Linked DNA regions of Elephas maximus indicus. The protein of the gene in region 1 interacts with the protein of each later gene in a biochemical or structural test. Links are inferred from orthologs where the notes say so. Each region holds a gene or a part of one and is shown in the gene's direction. Other genes may lie near its edges. The genes, in order: ETS2 and ZMYND11.

The links.
Region 2: the proteins of ETS2 (region 1) and ZMYND11 form a complex in vitro, tested with the Homo sapiens proteins (2 studies listed by BioGRID). The link is inferred for Elephas maximus indicus from reciprocal best matches to the Homo sapiens genes ETS2 and ZMYND11.

What each region holds. Positions count from the first base shown.
Region 1 is NC_064820.1:221,193,408-221,202,121, forward strand, and holds the start of ETS2 (protein C-ets-2), read left to right. Parts: upstream 1-4,749; 5' UTR 4,750-4,967; intron 4,968-8,714. UniProt on the Homo sapiens protein: Transcription factor activating transcription. Binds specifically the DNA GGAA/T core motif (Ets-binding site or EBS) in gene promoters and stimulates transcription.
Region 2 is NC_064822.1:20,702,795-20,712,091, reverse strand, and holds the start of ZMYND11 (zinc finger MYND domain-containing protein 11), read left to right. Parts: upstream 1-5,421; 5' UTR 5,422-5,600; intron 5,601-6,099; exon of another isoform or gene 6,100-6,155; intron 6,156-9,297. UniProt on the Homo sapiens protein: Chromatin reader that specifically recognizes and binds histone H3.3 trimethylated at 'Lys-36' (H3.3K36me3) and regulates RNA polymerase II elongation. Does not bind other histone H3 subtypes (H3.1 or H3.2).

The sequences.
Region 1 (8,714 bases):
CATGCCCACAGGGAACCCAAGGGACAAATAGGATGCCAACAAGAGAAGAAACTTTAATGGGCATTAAAAAAGTTTCTGACCTCCAGAATAATACTGTTTTTTTTTTTTTTTTTGCTGTTTCGAGGAATCGTAAATAAGAGAATAAGACACCACCTACTTTTGGGTGGAGTCCCTGGGTGGTGCAAACAGTTAACTTGCTCGGCTACTAACCAAAAGTTTGGAGGTTCGAGTTTACCCAGAGGTGCCTCGGCAGAAAGGCGTGGCAATCTACTTCTGAAAAATCGGCCATTGAAAACCCCACAGAGTGCATTTTAATCTGATACACGTGGGATCGCCATGCGTTGGAATCGACTTGACTGCAACTGGTACACTCTTGTGTAATTTGATACAACCATCCTGCAGGGAGGATGACATGTTGCTGGATGACCCCATAACTGCCTGAGATTCCTTGTATCCATGCCAGCCTGCAAATGAGCATAAGTGGATAGTATAATTATTGTATATATATATCTGGAGGTGAGTGGGTAGAAAGCTCGCCTTTATCAGTGCCAACATGTATTAGGGGAATAAATGCTACAGCTAGACACTACCAGGAGACGCAGGGTAAATAGAAGAGTGAACAAAGGCACCCGAATATACATGAATTAAATAATTTCTATCCCTGAGGGCTTTCTTTGCTTCCTCCGCCTCCTGCCCCCAGGATGTCCAGTCTCATTTGTCTCATGAATTTTGTACGTGAAGTGCACATTTCTTTCTCAACATTTTTATTTTTTTGAGGGCGAGGGACAAGGCTTATTCATCTTTGTCTTCCTGGTCCTGGAGCCTATGTTTACTGAATGAATAAATGATACACTTCCGGCCAAATGACGTCTGTTTAACTTGCAACTTGAAACTACCTTGAATCGTGTGTTGCCTCTATTGATTTGGATCTCAAGGCAAATATGAAGGTATCTCTAAGGAAACGTGTTTCTTTTTTTAAAGAATGACTTTTTAATGATAGTGTCTGGTTTCTAAAGAACGTTTTATCTGTATTTTACTCTCTAGATAATTTAGTATTTGTGCAGACATAGGTTCTGCTATCTCTTTCCTTTTTTTCTTCTCTGAGCTTTATTCTGTCTTAAGGGAAAAGGATTAAGATGACTCTTAAACTCAGCTTGACATAAGCACATCTGATCATTTCACCCTGTGCGTCTTCTGCCTTTTCATTTCCTTCTAACACCTTCAACTTTTGATTTTAAAGTGCAGCGAGCGCAGTACTTAAATAGGCTTCATTTACTGTAAAGCCTGGTGTTCCTTGAGCATCGCGCCGTAACAGTCAATGAATAATCACAGGCTTCAACCAGGCAGGGGTTTAATAACTAGGCTGAGTAACTAGGAAACCAGCTAATAACAAGGACAAAAAAAAAAAAAAAAAAAAAAATTAGGAGCCCCGGTATCATCCCAGAACTAGCATACGTCATTTTATTAAGTTCATGTCACCATCAAACTGTGGCGGTGGAACAGTCACAGCACAGGACCCAGGGCAAGGGGGCTTTGTGGGAAGCAGGGAGCTAGAGGGGCCTGGGTGGGAGTCAGGAGACTAGGCTTGTGTGGACTCTGTGTCCCTTCCGAGTGTGACCCAGGCAAACTGACCTAGCTTCTTCTCCTAGAGGCCTCCACACCTCTTTCAGCTCTGCCATTTTGTCATCCAGGCCATGGTCATTTTGGGTAGGGTTTCACACCAGTGGGATCTGAGACAGTAGGGACAATTTCTTTTTTCATGTGTATGACAATTTTTTCCAAGTGTTTCTCATAAAATGATTCAAGGGGGGAGTTTGGAGAAAGAAACTTAGTAGCTGCCATTTTGAGCTCTCTCAGCTCAAAAGGCACTCAACACTGGTAAGTACTGGGATTTATGTCTTATGACATAGGTTCCATAGAGAGAGAGGGAGGGAGGGGTACGTGGCTGGGTGGGTGGGTGGATGGATGGTTGGATGGATGGATGGATGAACAGACAGATGCCAGTGAGCTGACTCTTTTTCATGGCAACCTGTGTCATCCTCCCAATCAATGCATGTTTGAGTCCATCATTGTGGCTATTAAGCCAATCCATCTTGCCGAGTGTCTCCCTCACCCTCACTGGTCCTCTACTTCACCAAACATGATGTCCTGCTTTGTCCATTGAGCCTTCCTGATGGCGTGTCCAAAGCAAGAGAATAGAACAAAGTTCTGTCGTAACCCATAAGGTTTTCATCGGCTGAGTTTTGGAAGTAGATCCCCAGGCCTTTCTTCATAGTCTCTCTTAGCCTAGAAGCTCCACAGAAAACTGTCCACCACGGGTGATGCTGCTTATATTTGAAATACCCATAGCATGGCTTCCAGCGTCACAGCAACACACAAGCCACCACACTATGACAAACTGACAGATGGGTGGTGGATAGGTTGGTTCCATAATTGCCCCTTTTCTGCAGAGGAGTTAAATAATAGGCTCAAGGTATTCCGAGTTAGTAAGCAGGGGAAGGCTTGGCCATTAGGAAAAGATTTTCTCCCAACTCCAGTGCTCCTTCCATTGATTTCTGTCTCTCAGCTTGTATATGCTTGAAACTGCCCAGTGAGCAAAGCGCTTCTTCCTGGCCCCCATCCTCAAAAGAAGGAAAGACGTCTTCACAAAGAATCAACGGGTCTCCATCTGTCCTCTTTAGGGAGCCCTGGGAGAAAAGTCTGGTGATCTACTTCCAAAAATCAGCCAGTGAAAACCCTGTGGATCCATGACCTATCACGGGAATGGCACAGGACAGGGCATCGTTTCATGCCATTGTGCCTGAGGTCACCATGAGTCGGGGCCAACTCAACGGCAGATTAACAACAGCACCAGGGAGCCTGTCCATCAACCTCTGGCACCAAACATGGGTGGGGAGCAGGCACAGGGGACTAGGCAGTGGCACCAAGCTTCTCAGACACCCGAAACTGGCCGTGGCACCAAGCTTCTCAGACACCATCCAGGACTGTGTGAGTAGCCTGGGGGAAAAGCCGCTGTATTACCTGGAAGGGCAGCCAGATGAGTCAGGATTTTCCGCTATGGTTTTAAGAAAAGAAAAAAAAGGAACACATTGCATCTCCATGGTAACTTACTATGGATCTGTATGCCATTTATAAAACTCCTTCTTGACCTATGTACCCTTTCTGATTCGGGCCTGAACGTACACTGAGAAGCCATCAGAATCAATTCAATCCCCCCAAAACACTGATTTCCCCTTGCACAATGTGGCCTGCCTCTGACATGTGCCATGGTGATACCTGGACACCCTCAAGTGGCAAGGCGCACTAAGGGGCTGCAGTATCTCGGTGATCCGGATAACGGCAGATCCATGGTTGCCACGGAAACCAGGAACCCTGGCTGACAGAAGCTGGACAGTTTCACTCCCTCCCGCGGCACCCTGTCTTTATGATGTAGCTGCTTTCAGTCCTAGGGTCTTGCCTAAACTAGGCTTTTTTAAAAAAATCTCGTACAAATCTAAATTTCTCTCCAAAATATTGAGAGTCTAAGTAGTTAAGTGACTGTGCTGGCAGCAGAAAGTTCAGCTGTTCGAATCCACCAGCCCCTCCCGGGGAGAAAGATGCAGCAATCTGCTTCAGTAAAGATTGCAACCTTGGAAACAATACGGGGCAGTTCTACTCTGTTCTATAGGGTCGCTACGAGTGGGAATCGACTAGACTGCTGTGGGTTTGGTTTGGGATCTAAGTCTAAATAGGAAATGCATACATTTTTAGCCATGGGCTCGGCGCCTTCTGATAAAAATGGAAACCCGCGTATAGGTGACGGTTTTGACCATGGGCTTGGGAGTCAGAAAAGGTCGGGTTGCCATCCTGAATTTCCCATGAGTACCCGCGCTTATGATCCAGTTACTTACCCTAAGATTCAGGTCTGTCATGTGCGAAGTGGCAACAATAAAACCTTGGAGAAATGTCCTGAAGATTAAATGATAATACATGTAGAGTGCTTCGCCTCGAGTGAAAGCTCAGTCGGTGTTGGTTACTACGATAGGCACCGCTCAATTCTAGGGGGCGCCCCTCACACGAGGGCTATGGAAATGGAATTACCCTGAGTAGCGCAATTCGTTGTGCACAATAAACTTGGTGGTGAGCCAGCAAAGGGCCCAGATCGTACTTGTTACCTTCATTTAGAGTCTTTTCATGACCCAATAACTAGAAATCTTGGATCCAGAGGGAGGTCCAAGAATGGGCCAGCTCAACTTTCGAGGGCACCGCCCAGGGAGATCTTATTAGCCAAGCGCCGCGACCACCCGTGTCACCAGCGCTCTTCATTATTCTCTTCATGCTGAATTCCAATGGCAGGTTTGGTGTGAAAGCCACAGGGATCAGGAGAGGAAACTGATTCTTCCCAGGAAAGGCTCTCCCGGCACACATCCTGAGTCCCTGGGACAGAGCCAGGTGACAGCGGACGCGGGAGAGAGGGCCCCGCCGGAAGGAGCTTGCTCCTCCCCTCCTCCGCTCCTCCCCTCCTCCCCTTTCTCTTCTCCCTTCTCTTCCTCTTCGCTCCGCTCTTCCTTCCAGCTTTTCCTTCCTTTCTCCTTTCTCCCTTCCTCTCCTTTGCCTCTCTACTCTTCTCCTCTCCTCCCCCTCCCTCTCTTCCTTTCCCTTGTCCCCGACCTCCTTCCTCCTCTGGTCCCCTCCCCCGTTCCCGTCCCTCCGCCTCCCCTCCTCCCCTTGTCTCCTCCCCTCTTTAGTCCCTCCTCTTCGCGCTCCTGAAGAGCTGCGCCGCGAGGGGACGGGCCGGTATTTCCTCCTGCTGCCGCGAGGAACACGGTGCACCCTAGGTCGAGAGCCCGGCTTGCCGCCCGCAACCCCCGGAGCGCCCCCGTCCGCCACCCGGTCCGCGGCCCCCGCGTCTTCAGCGTTCGCCCTCGCCCTCGCCTGGCGCGCACCCAGTTACCGCCGCCTCCGTCCGCGCCGGCCTGCCCGCAGGGGTAAGAGCGGGGTCCCTCCTGGAGCCCCCACCGCGCCGCAGACCCTGGAGGGCGCCGGCTAGGCGTCCGCTGAGAACCGCCTCCTGCGCCCGGCTCCTTTCCCTGGTAGGGGTGACCCAGAAACGGGACGGGAGACGCAGGCGACACCAAGATCTGGATCCTGGAGTGAACCAGGGGGTCAGGGTCGGGGTGGCGGTCCTCTTAGAATCCGAGGGGCGTGCGCCTGAGTTATCCTCACAGGCTTGTTTTCTCGGTACCGAGTGGCCTTGGGGGTGGCGGAGCGGCCGAGGGCCCGGCGGCAGGGTCAGTGCCGAGGTGCCCGGGCGAGGTTGCCCGGGGCCCCGAGACGTGCCGGCCCGGGCCTTGCGCACTCGGGCGGTGCCGCCGGGTCGCCGGGCGGCCTCCCGGGCGGGGTGCGGGTCTTGTTTCGCTTTGCTTGGCTTTGTTTTCTAAAAGGCATTCCGGGCCCGGTGGGGTTGTTCTTTGCCCAGGTTTCTCGTCCTGCGGGTGCCCAGGGCGCCTGAATTCACTAAGGGCGTTGAGAACGCAGAAGGGTGTCCGGGTAGCTCCCGCGCGCAGTCCACGGGCTTCCCGGCCCAGGCGCGCCCCGGCTTTGTGGGAGACTTTCTCAGGCGCCCCATTCTGGGGGGCGGTGCCGGGCCCGGCAGGGAGGTTGCCCGGATCGGGGAGGGGGGGCCCCGGCGCGTAAAGCGGAAATGCTACGGCACCCCGGAGCGCAGGGTCCCCAACTGCTCGGCCAAGTCCAGGGCCCAGCCCGGGCGGCAGGCGAGGGAGGCCCCAGGAGGGTGAACGGGTGGCGCCCTCTTGTCCTTCCGCTTGGGCGAAACCCTTACGGGTGCCCGAAAACCTCTGGATTCGGGGTCCCCTCGGCCGACATTGGTGAGGGAATGGGGGACCGGGAGGCGTAGGCTGCCTTTATTTTCTTGAAGTATTTTGAAGGAAAGAGTAATCGTGAGCGTTTGCGTATGTGTATTTGGGGGCTTTGGGTTTCTTTTTTTTTTTAAGTTCAGGAGGCTTTTAATGCTAGACGGTTCTAAATTTCAGGGTAGACTGAAATAGCAGTTGTGCTACTTTAGAAAGTAAATAGGTGAGCAGGCCCCTTTGGAGATAGGAGTAATTTATTTTATTTCACCAGCAAGAGATTACATGTGTTCCATGGGATGGAAGTGATGTGTGTTAGCTGCCTGCCCACACCGCCAGCAATCACCCATATAAATCTCTAAGTTAAGGTTTATTAAAATTCTGAGTAACATCGCAGTACAATAAATGTTAGCACCGCGTATCCCGCAGGGAAATCGATTCAAACACTCATTCCTGAGATTAGTCATTCATCTCTAAACTGATAACTTTCCAAGTGAAAAAAGCAAAAGGTACCTTCAAAAGTGTGAAAGGCTTGTTTCATTTTGTTTTTCTTAAGATTTACCTAAGTGCAAACCTGTGTTCTGATCTCACATAACTGATTATTTGTTCTAATAAGGGTACTGCCGTCTGGCAGGTTGTCCTCTTTTCGAATGTTACCACTGTCGGCCATTCTGTTCTGCCATTTCCCCCCCTTTTTTTGGTTCAAAAGCAGTGATCAGTATGGCAACACCGAAATGACCTAAACATGAAGTTGATTAATGTGGAGGAACTTGGCATGCCTGTCACTTTAACAAGCTGTGTTGAGTAAAATAAGTGAACTTAAATTTGATTAGTGATGTGTCTGCCTGAAACCATTTAGTCGAGCTCTTTGATTCTACATGGTTTTTTTACAAAACTCATTAAGAGCTGGACAACAAAAGAATTCTATTCTGTAGCTAGTAATTATACCTCTTTATGTGGGAGGGGTAGGCTGCCTTTTCTCTCGGTATTTGTACACAAAAGCTAGGCAGAGCTTTTCCGTGGCCGTCCGCAGCCTTTCTCTGTCAGTCTCTGTGAAGTTAGAACATGTAGGATAAAGCCGGCAGCCTACTAACCAAAAGGTTGGTGGTTCGAGGCCACCCAGAGAAGGAAGGCCTGCCTGGCAATTTACTTCCAAAAAATTAGCCATTGAAAACCCTGTGGAGCACAGTTCTACTCTGACACACACATGGGTTGCTATAAGTTGGAGTTGACTCGACAGCAGCTGGTTTTGCTGGGTTCTGGATAGATACTGGACAAACCCAAGATGTCTATTGTCTTGGCTCGGGCCTACTGTCATAGTATCTGTTTGCTGTCTCTGCCTTATGGTGATGTGGAGGCAGAAGGGCACGTGCCTGGCACAGTGGGTTAGGACCACATGCAACGGGGATTTGGTCCCTCGTCTGCTCCTTAGTAGCCCCGTGGTAGCTGTTGATCCAGGGCCAGTTAACACCTGGGCCTCCAGTGCCTCCCTACAAGATGGCACACTGTCTCCAGCCCTGATGTTGGGGAGGTTCAGGGAAAGGGTGCTTAGGGCTGAGTGAGTAGGCGTCTGTCAGCGCTGGCGAGCCTTAGCAGTGAGCACTGATTCTTGAGAAATGCGGACGGCAGAAGTGACAAGATGGAGATTCTGATCCAGCGTGGCCACTTTTGATCCCAGAACAACCCTCCCCTCCCACCCACCCATGGGGTGATTATCAAGGTGTTCTCTCTCCTGTCTTGGCTGCTGTGATAATTACCTTCAGGGCAAGGGACTTTACAGCCTTTCCAATGTCTCTTGCCTCCCACACTGCCATTTTAGGGGTGTGTGTGTGTGTCTCCAGTATCCAGAGCCCAGCAAAACCAGTTGCCATCGAGTTGATTGCAACTCATGGCAACCCCATGTGTGTTAGTGTTGGGTGGCAGGGTTGTTGGGAGGTGTGTTTTAGTTATAATGTTGTTCATAAAGAGAAAGTAAGAAAGCACACAGTTGAATTTAAATAGTTACATGGGAATAGGCTAATTGCTGCTTCCAGTAAGTTATATAAATTGCCGAGTATTTTAACTCCTAGAAGTTCTTGGTTGTTACAGGTGGGAGCACCCAGTAGAGTGGGGGCAGGTTAGGGGTGCCCCCATACAACTTTGTTATGGACCTTCAGTTCCGTAGCCATGGAACAGGGAGGGTGAGGGATGCCCCTCGAGGTAAAGGTTGCTGTCACCTGTGCTAGGCCAGCTGCCATCCAGTTGACTCCGGGTCATGGTGACTGCATGTGGGTCAGAGTAGAACTGTGCTCCGTAGGGTTCTCAGAGGCTGATTTTTCTGAAATAGATTGCCTGGGCTTTCTTCTGAGGTACCTGTGGGTGGACTCGAACCTCTAAACTTCTGGTTAGTAGCTGAGCGTATTAACTGTTTGCACCACTCAGAAACTCCATCATCGGTACTAACCCTGGTAATTCGAAAATGAGTTTTAGTCATTAACGTTTTGTTTAACACTCTGGTAGTATTTTTTTTTTTATTACTATGTAACTTTCCTGTCCAGACAAGCAGTTTTAGGGTCCCCAAATAACTTTTGGGAGCCCTTGTGGCACGGTGGCTAAGTGCTATGGCTGCTAATCAAAAAGTCAGCAGTTCAAATCCACCTGTCTTCCTTGGAAACCCAATGGGTCAGTTCTCCTCTGTTCTATAGGGTTGCTATGAGTCGGAATCGACTCGACAGCAATGGGTTTGGTTTTTTGGTGTTTTAAATAAGTTTTCAGCCTGTTACAGCACTGTCCAGTTGCAAGCCACGTATGTCATTTTTTATTTTCTAATAGCCATGTTAAAAATAAACAGGTAAAATTAATTTCAGTAAATTTCATCTAACCTAC
Region 2 (9,297 bases), on another chromosome or scaffold:
TGTTAAATTTATCAGTCTTTTCTTTTGTGATTTTTTTCCATTTCTCCCCATTGCTTTAGGGCTTAGGATATCCTTTCTCACACACAATCTTAAAAAACCTATCTATACTTTCAAGGCCAGGGAGCGAAAAGTTAAAGTTGAAGAAAAGTAGAACAAGTCCACAAGAGCCAAAGTATGACCTCAATATATCCCACCTGAATAGATTTGATGCACTGAATGCTAATGACCAAAGACCAGACCAGTTGTGGAATGACATCCAGGACCGCATACATAAAGAAAGCAAGAGGCCATTAAAAAGACAGGAAAGAAAGAAAAGACCAAAATGGATGTCAAAAGAGACTCTGAAACTTGCTTTTGAACAGAGTAGCTAAAGTGAATGGAAGACGTGATGAAGTAAAAGAGCTAAACAGAAGATTTCAAAGGGCAGCTCAAGAAGACAAAGTAAAGTATTATGAAATGTGCAAAACTTGGAGTTAGAAAACCAAAACGGAAAAACACGTTTGACATTTTTCAAGCTGAAGGAACTGGAGAAAAAATTTAAGCCTCAAGCTGCAATATTGAAGGATTCTACGGGGAAAATATTAAACTATGCAGGAAGCCTCAAAAGAAGATAGAATGAATACATAGAGCCACTGTATCAAAAACAACTGGTCAACATTCAACCTTTTCAGGAGGTAGCATATAATCAAGAAATAATGGAACTGAAGGAAGAAGTCTAAGCTGCACTGAAGCATTGGTGAAAAACAAGGCTCCAAGAATTGACAGAATAGCAATTGAGATGTTTCAACAAATGGATGTGGAGCTGGAAGTGCTCACTCATCTATGCCAAGAAATTTGGAAGGCAGCTGCCTGGCCAACCAACTGGAAGAGATCCATGTTTCTTTCCATTCCAAAAAAAGGTGATTCAAAAGAATGCAGAAATTATTTAACAATACCATTAATATCACACACAAGTAAAATTTTGTTGAAGATCATTCAAAAGCGGTTGGAGCATCAGGGAACTGCCAGAAATTCAAGAATGATTCAAAAGAGGACATGGAACACGGGATGTCATTGCTGATGTCAGATGGATCTTCGTTGAAAGCACAGAATACCAGAAAGATGTTTACGTGTGTTTCATTGACTATGCAAAGGCATTCAACTGTATGAATCATAACAAATTATGGATAACATTGCAAAAAATGGGAATTCCAGAATACTTAATTGTGCTCATGAAGAAATTATACATAGACCAAGAGGCAGTTGTTTGAACAGAACAAGGAGATACTGAGTGGTTTAAAGTCAAGAAAGGTGTTTGCCGGGGTTGTATCCTTTCACCATACTTATTTGATCTGTATGCTGAGCAAATAACCCAAGAAGCTGGACTGTATGAAGAAGAATGGGGCATCAAGATTGGAGGAAGACTAATCAACGACCTGCAATATGCAGATGACAGAACCATAAAAAAAAAAAAAAAATCAACCATACTTGCTGAAAATGAAGAGGACTTGAAGCACTTAACTGATGAAGTTCAAAGACCACAGCCTTCAGTATGGATTACATCTGAACATAAAGAAAACAAAAATCCCCACAACTGGACCAATAAGCAACATCATGATAAATGAAGAAAACATTGAAGTTGTCAAGGATTTCATTTTACTTGGATCCACAATCAACAGCCATGGAAGAAGCAGTCGAGAAATCAAAAGACGCATTGCATTGGGCAAATATGCGGCAAAAGACCTCTTTAACATGATAAAAAGCAAAGATGTCACCTTAAGGACTAAGGTGCGCCTGACCCACACCGTGGTGTTTTCAGTTGCCTCATATAATGCATTCGAAAATTGGACAATAAGTAAGAAAGACCAAAGAAGAACTGATGCCTTTGAATTAAGATGTTGGTGAAGAATACTGAGTATACAATGGACTGCCAGAAGAATGGACAAATCTGTCCTGGCAGAAGTACAGCCAGAATGCTCCTTAGAAGCTAAGATGGCAAGACTTTGTCTCATGTACTTTGGACATGTTATCAGGAGGACCAGTCTCTGGAAAAGGACATCATGCTTGGCAAAGTAGAAGGTCAGTGAAAAAGAGGAAGGCCCTCAACAACATGGATTGATGTAGTGGCTGCAACAATGGGCTCATGTGTAACCATCATGAGGATGGCACAGGAGCGGGCAGTGTTTCGTTCCGTTGTACATACGGTCACTATGAGTCGGAACAAACTGGAGGGCACTTAACAACAACAATATTTTCTTTTAGCTTTTAAAGAATGGTTTTCAATTTTTACCATTATATTCTTCAAGTCATTTGAGTTATTTTGGTATATAGCATCAGTTAGGGATGTAATTTGATTTATTTTTTAGAGACAAAAATTTTCACCCAGTGTGTTGAATATTGCAAGCCTTCTCCATTTACGTAATATTTTTCAAAGTGGAATATCGAAAAATGTGATATGATTTACACTTGAGTATAAAGAGTTTTGATACGTAAGAAGGAAGAATTAAGAAAGTTATGATGGGGGTTCTTCTTCCAGTTGGTGCTAAGTCTCTAAAGGAGTCCTTGGGTGGTGCAAACAGTTAACGCTTTCTGGTAACCAAAAGGTTGGAAGTTTAAGTCCACTCAGAGGCTCCTTGGAAGAAAGGCCTGGTGATCTACTTCTTAAAAACTAGCCATTCTGTGGGGACCATGGTCTCGGGGAACATCTAGCTCAGTTGGCATAACAGAGTCTATAAAGGAAATGTTCTACATTCTGCTTTGGTGAGTAGTGTCTGGGGTCTTAAAAGCCTGTGAGCAGCCATCTAGGACACTCCACTGGTCTCACCCCTTCGGGAGCAAGGAAGAATGAAGAAAACTAAAGACACAAGGGAAAGATTAGTCTAAAGGACTAATGGACCACATCTACCACGGCGTCCACCAGACTGAGTCCAGTACAACGAGATGTTCGCTGCTATCACCACTGACTGCTCTGACAGGGATCACAATACAGGGTTCTGGACAGAGCTGGAGAAAAATGTAGAACAAAATTCTAACTAAAGAAGCAAGACCAGACTTGCTGGCCTGGCAGAAACTGGAGAAACCCTGAGAGTATGGCTCTCGGACGCCCTTTCAGCTCAGTAATGAGGCCGCTCCTGAGGTTCACCCTTCAGCAAAAGATTGAACAGGCCCATGGAACAAAACAAGGCTGAAGGGGCGTACCAGCCCTCGGGCAGGGACTGGAAGGCAGGAAGGAACAGGAAAGCCAGTAATAGGGAACCCAGGGTTGAGAAGGGAGAGTGTTGACATGTCGTGGAGTTGTTAACCAGTGTCATAGAACAATGTGTGTTCTAGCTGTTTGTTGAGAAACTAGTTTGTTCTGTAAACCTTCATCTAAAGTTCAATTAAAAAAAAAAAAAAGTTTAAAAACCAGAGATTGGAATCCCTACAGAGCACAGTTCTACTCTGATACACATGGAGCTCCCATCAGCCAGTCAACTCAACAGCAACTGATTAAGTCTCAAAAACATTCAGTTGACATAAACTATTCCTTGTATTCCACTACTCGTCTTTTTCCCCGCTTCACTCTGTCCATTTTAGCCCTGTTTTTTTCCTCTTCACAATCTGGTAAATAAACTCATGGTATAATTTAGGTTATGTGGAAATGGCTACTTTGGTCTTCTGGACCTTCCTCCCTCTCCCCCCAACACACACATAATCACTCAGCTGAGGAACAGTGAGGTAAATAAATTGTTTGAAAGGAAAATAGAGACAAGAGTTAAATTCTATGCAAAATCATAAGAAATGTACGTTTACGTTATCTAACTTAGAATGAGAGATGGTATCCAGGTTAAAAAAAAATGGAAATGATGCCTACATAATATAATTGGATAAAAATGTGGAGTTATGCAGTGGCTTCCTTCCTAAAAGGCTTCCTTTTATACATATACGACCTTACCTCACTTGAGTGACCTCTGCAAAGTAAACACAATCATGTGGTCCCTCTAGTTTTTAGATGCAGTAACAGACTTTTTTTTTTAAGGTGATTTACTTAAACTAAAGCAATTCATTGTTGGAATTTCTAGTCCAGCATTTAAACCAGGCATGGCTTGATTTTTTTCTGACAATCTTTAACCCCTCTGCTGAATTTTATCCTTAAAATTAATTAACATTTGTGATGTTCCTTGAGATAACTAAAAACTCTCTCAGATGTATCAGAACCAGGTCTGTGAATGGTTAAAAATTGTTTCTTTGGCATTTGGAATATAACGTTAGTGACTGGCGTACACTGTAGACCACCTATTCAAGCAGGCGCACTCATATGTTCTAGTTTAGTGTTGTTTTGTGGTTTCAAGTGGATTCTGACACATAGCGACCTTATATGAGAGTAGGAGCCATTGTGAAAGTGTAACGATAAATTGCATTAGAAGCCCAGAATTTCTAGTCTCTTCCCAGTGATTTTCAGGTACACATATCCAATAATAATCTGTATGAAATTGTGGCTGAATTGTCCCAGTAGAGAAAGGTCATTGGAGAAAACATGAGAAACCGAAAATACATGCTTATCTCCAAGACTTTCTTAAATAGATCTTCTCTGGTCCGATCTAGAATTACAAACTACAAATTATAAGATAACCTACTTCTCACACAAACTTGTAGCTTTCTCGCCAAACTGACAATGGATGGTCCTTTTTTTCCTTTGAAGTCATATTTGCATATACATGGAATGAGATTCAGCATATCCCTGCAATTCCTTTTTATGATGGGATTAAAAAGATATTAAAACTATTTTACCAATTTTGTTATTTTAAAACTTAACGCTTTTCAAAGACTTTGCAGTTCCATACAACCTAAACTACAAAGCAGGTACACCCCACATAAAAACCTGTCTTGGCCGAGAGTTGCATACATCTTCTTACCGTCGAAACCTAGCAATGACACGAGTGTTTAAATCTTTGTGTGTCCTGCTTTTTACTCAAGCGTGCCTGCATGGATGTATCTTTCATGTATGTACTGGTATAAAATGCACTTGTGGGATTATAACACTATGCCAAGACAACTTTTGGATAGAGGCGCCAAAGATAGGAAGGGAGGGAAGGTAAGTGTGAATACGTAAAAACGCCTCTATATTATTTGCATAATATGAATGTACATAAAAACTCCCTGGGTGGAAAGAAGCAAGTCCAGCCACTGCCGCTAGAGTTCTCCTTCTGCCCGCGCTGCCCACTCCTCCTCGCTACATCTGAAACCCTGTTTACCCCAGAAATCTGAACTGTGTGGACAGACAGAGGAAGGGAAGAAAAAAATCAGACACAATAAAACTCTGAGGGGGAGAGAAAAAGAGAGGGAGAGGGAGTGAGTGCGCGGGTTTTGGGGGGGCGGGTGGTGAAAAGAGAAAGAAGGGGGGAAAGAGGAGGGGATTAAAAAAAAAAAAAAAAAAAAAGCTCACACACCCAACAACCAACATGTGAAGCGGGAGGCACGGCCTCGGGAAGGGACCGAAAACTTTCCCCAGGCAGCTGCGGCGCCCTCCAACTTCTCCACCCGCGGCGCGGCCCGTGTCCCCCGCGCCGCGCCGCGCCGCGCCGCGCCGCCCTGCTCGCGGCTCTAGAGCGGCCCGCCGCAGCAGCACCGGCGACGAGACAGTAAGTGGGGAAGCGGCGGGCGGGCGGGCGGGCGGGCGGGCGGCGAGCGGGCCGGGCCGGCGGGACACGGCGGCGCGGCGAGCCCTCCCCGCGCGCACCGCTCCGGCACCTGGGTCCCCCGGGGCCGGCGGCCGTGCACCCCGCACACACGCGCCCCGGGCCGCCCTCAGTCATCTCGCTCTTCCCTCGCCGGGTGTCTCCGTGTGTGTTTGATGTGATGGAGGATTATAAACATGGCGCCGCTCAAACTACCAAATCCTATGCCACCAGTCCCCTGGCCGGCGGAGCCCGGGCGCGGCGGGGAGGCCGGGGCGGCGGGGGCGGGCGCCGCGGGCCGCACCAGCGCCCACCCGCGCTCGCGCCTGGCGCCCCGCGCAGTCCCCCGCTGCTCCCGCGCGGCCTCTCCGGCGCGGCCCCAGGCCCGGGAGAGGTGGTTGGTGGTTGGGGAAGGAGGGCGGGCGCCGAGTCGGTGCCGAGGGGGACGGGGAGAGAGGGGTGGGGGAGGGCGCGGGCGAGGCGGCGGCGGCGGCGGCGGCGAGGAGCCAGAGCATAATGGTGGGGGAAAGAAATGAGCTTCTGCCGAGGGCGGGGAGGCCCGGGGCGGCGGGCCGTGATGGGGGCGAGGGCAGCGGGCCGCGGCGCGGGGGGCGAGGTGGGCGCGGGCGGGGAGCGGCTGTCGGCTCTGCCCGGGGGGCTGCTTATGAGTATTAATGGCGATTACGGTGACCCGGTATTGTTGTGCCTCTGACCCCCGCTCCAGCCTGCAGTCTTTTGGGGGTGGCGGCGGGGGGTAGTGATAGATCCCCTCTCGCCTATCGTGTCAAAGTTGCCCGAGGAGCTTTGTGTGCGGCGGGCTGAGGACGCTCCCGGGCAGGGGTCCCCCGGGCCGGGGACGCCAAGGCGGCTGTGAGCGGGCGGGCGTTGTGGGATTTTGTTGCAGACAGCGTGTGCCGCTGCCCGCGACCCCTCTCGCCTTCCCGGGTTCCCGGGAGAGGCTCCTCAGGAGAACTGCGCAGGGGCCTTGTCGGTGTCGGGGAAGCCGGGGAGTCGCGTGAGGAGGCCGAGCGGCCCCTGCACCGCGCCGCCTGCGGCTCTCTCGCCCGCGGCCCAGGCCTCTCGGGGACACGGTCGCTGGCCGGGGTCCGAAGGGAACGTGGATTGTATGTGTGGTGAGGGCGGGGAGAGGGAGGGAAACGAGGGCTGGTGTAAGCATTTGCTGTCGCGGTTCGTTGTGTGGGGAGCAATGGCAGCTGCTGGGTAGGGTTTGTCCCCCAAGGACTGAGGCAGGGATTCAGTCCGGTTATCCCAGGAGCGGGGGGCGAGATACCCTGGATAGAGCAGCAACAAATAAAAGCGAGGCCCTTTGCCTCGTCAACAGGTTCCTTTTCTCCTGTCTCTGGAAAAGAATTCCTTGGTTGCACCACCGTCACCCCAACTTCTCTCCTCCCACGTTGTATGGTGTTCCTGTGTCTCTCACGATCTAGGCTCTAGGATTTTCCTGAGTAATCTACCACTTTTCTTCCTATCGAGAGGATTTGGAGAAAGCCGCAGTTCATGGGGAAGCCCCTAACAGGCAAGCCTAAAAGGCTAAGTTTCTTTGAGATGAGGTGGGAACTCCTTAAGGGAAGTGTCCTGCTTCACTGGCCCCTTCTGGGAGGCAAGGGGCACAAGGACCATGGACCCTACGTAGCAGGTGTGGAGCACTGGAGTCTCTTGGCACTGACAACTTTTATGTAAATTGTTTCCCCTCAAGCTTTCTCCCACACCCGGCATGTAGAGGCACACTTATTGTATAGAATGTACTATAGTGTATATGTGTACATATAAAACACGACGCAGCCTTATGTTCCATTCTGAAATAAGCAGGCTGGGGAGGGAGGTAGTGCAGTGTGTGAAGCATTCCTTTACAAGGAAAGCCCATTTTGATAAATGTCTAAGAGTAGTGTTTTTAGGAAACCACTGCATTCTGTGGGGGAAATTGCTGAAGCAGGTGGCTGATGGAGTGGAAAAAGTAGCGCCTCTTTAAGTTTCTGAGGTGCTTAACATGAGGGAGTTGGCACTACCTCACCCTTGTCCTTCTGCATCCTACAATAAGCCTTGATGGAAGAATAACTGTGAACTTTGGTTTCGTATAGAAGACAAGTGCATTATTAAAAATAATATGATTTGCTTATATGTTGAATGGAAGAAAACAAGCTTTTCCTTGTTTTCTTTTAAACAGAAATATAGTAGTTTTTAGCTTAGTAATTTCAGGCCTTTGGGTCACTGGTTCTAACTAATGGTTGGAAGTTCTCAGGGTGATAGTCTTGGTGTACCTGCAGAGTTTAAAATCTTGAGGAAGCAAGGTCATCTTTGTAGTTTTTTTTTTTTTTTTTTTTTTTTTTTGCCTGAATATCTAATTTATACAAGCGAGAGATAAAATACTAATTTCTGTACAGGCATATTTTCCTTGTCTTCGACTAACTGGGGCTAGGTACATTACAGTCATTGTTTTGGTCAACTGTTTTTTATAGGATGACAAGGTTAAAAATCAAAGATCAGAAGATACGGGATGTGTTATTTTGTAATTATGACAGAATCAATAAAATATCTTGCTTGACTCTACCTCTGATTAACAGAGGATTTCTATATTTTACACAGTACCTTTTTTCATAGATCTTGAAAACTGAAGGATCAGTGTCTGTGACAAGCATTAATATTTGTGTTCTATAATCCCCTTTTACATTCTGTAGATTAGGCTATTTGTTTTTGCAGTACCTGTTGCAAGGTGTTCAAATAAACATACATATAAGTGCTTCCAGCTTTACAAAGAAAAATTAGTTAAAGTGTTAGATTTAGCTCTTTAGATCATACTACATATTCCTAGGATATCATTATGTTGGCACTTCGTGGATGTCATCATGCACGTTTCAGTGAATTGACATGTGTTTATGTGAACTCTCACCCCTTTGTATCCCCTTTCTTCTCAGGAATGTTCAGATAGGGTATAATAATAGAGGCATTCATATCCTTTGGCATACCTTAATTGAGCATGTTTAGAATATTAAGACACTAATTGGATCTAACTAAGAGTTTTAACATTTGTAATAGAAGTATCAAATACTGTTCTACCTTGCTTACTTAAAGCCATAACCCCTGGGGTAAAACTTTCTTTACCTTCCTTTTACTTCAGTTGAATTCTTTAAGGAGAACATCGTTACATTTAAACAAAGAGGTTGTATCTGCAGAAAACATTTAAGAACAAAATGGACCATCTTATGGTCTTGATTAAAACATTACAGTGTTTGAAAACCTGAACTTGGATGTAGCATTGCATTATTTTACATGGTGATTAGATTTTTTTTTTTTTTTTTTTCCTAGCATTGGATTGGGGAGGCAGCGTAACAAAATGATTAAGAGCCCAGACTTTGAAGCCAGGCAGCTTGGGCCTGAATCCTATCTCTGTCATTTACCAGCAGAGTGACCTTGGGTCAGCTACTTAACCTTGTCAAGCCTTGTCTCCATTTTCCCATCGGAAGAACAAGGATGATAATAGTACATACCTCATAGAGTTATTGTGACAGTTAGATGAGTTAATATTTTTAAAGCACTTAAAACAGTTCCTGGCCCATAGTAAGCACTAGGTAAGTGTTAGTTACATGCTTTCTTTCCTACATTTTAGTATCACTTGGGAAGATAGGTTTTAACACAAGTTGAG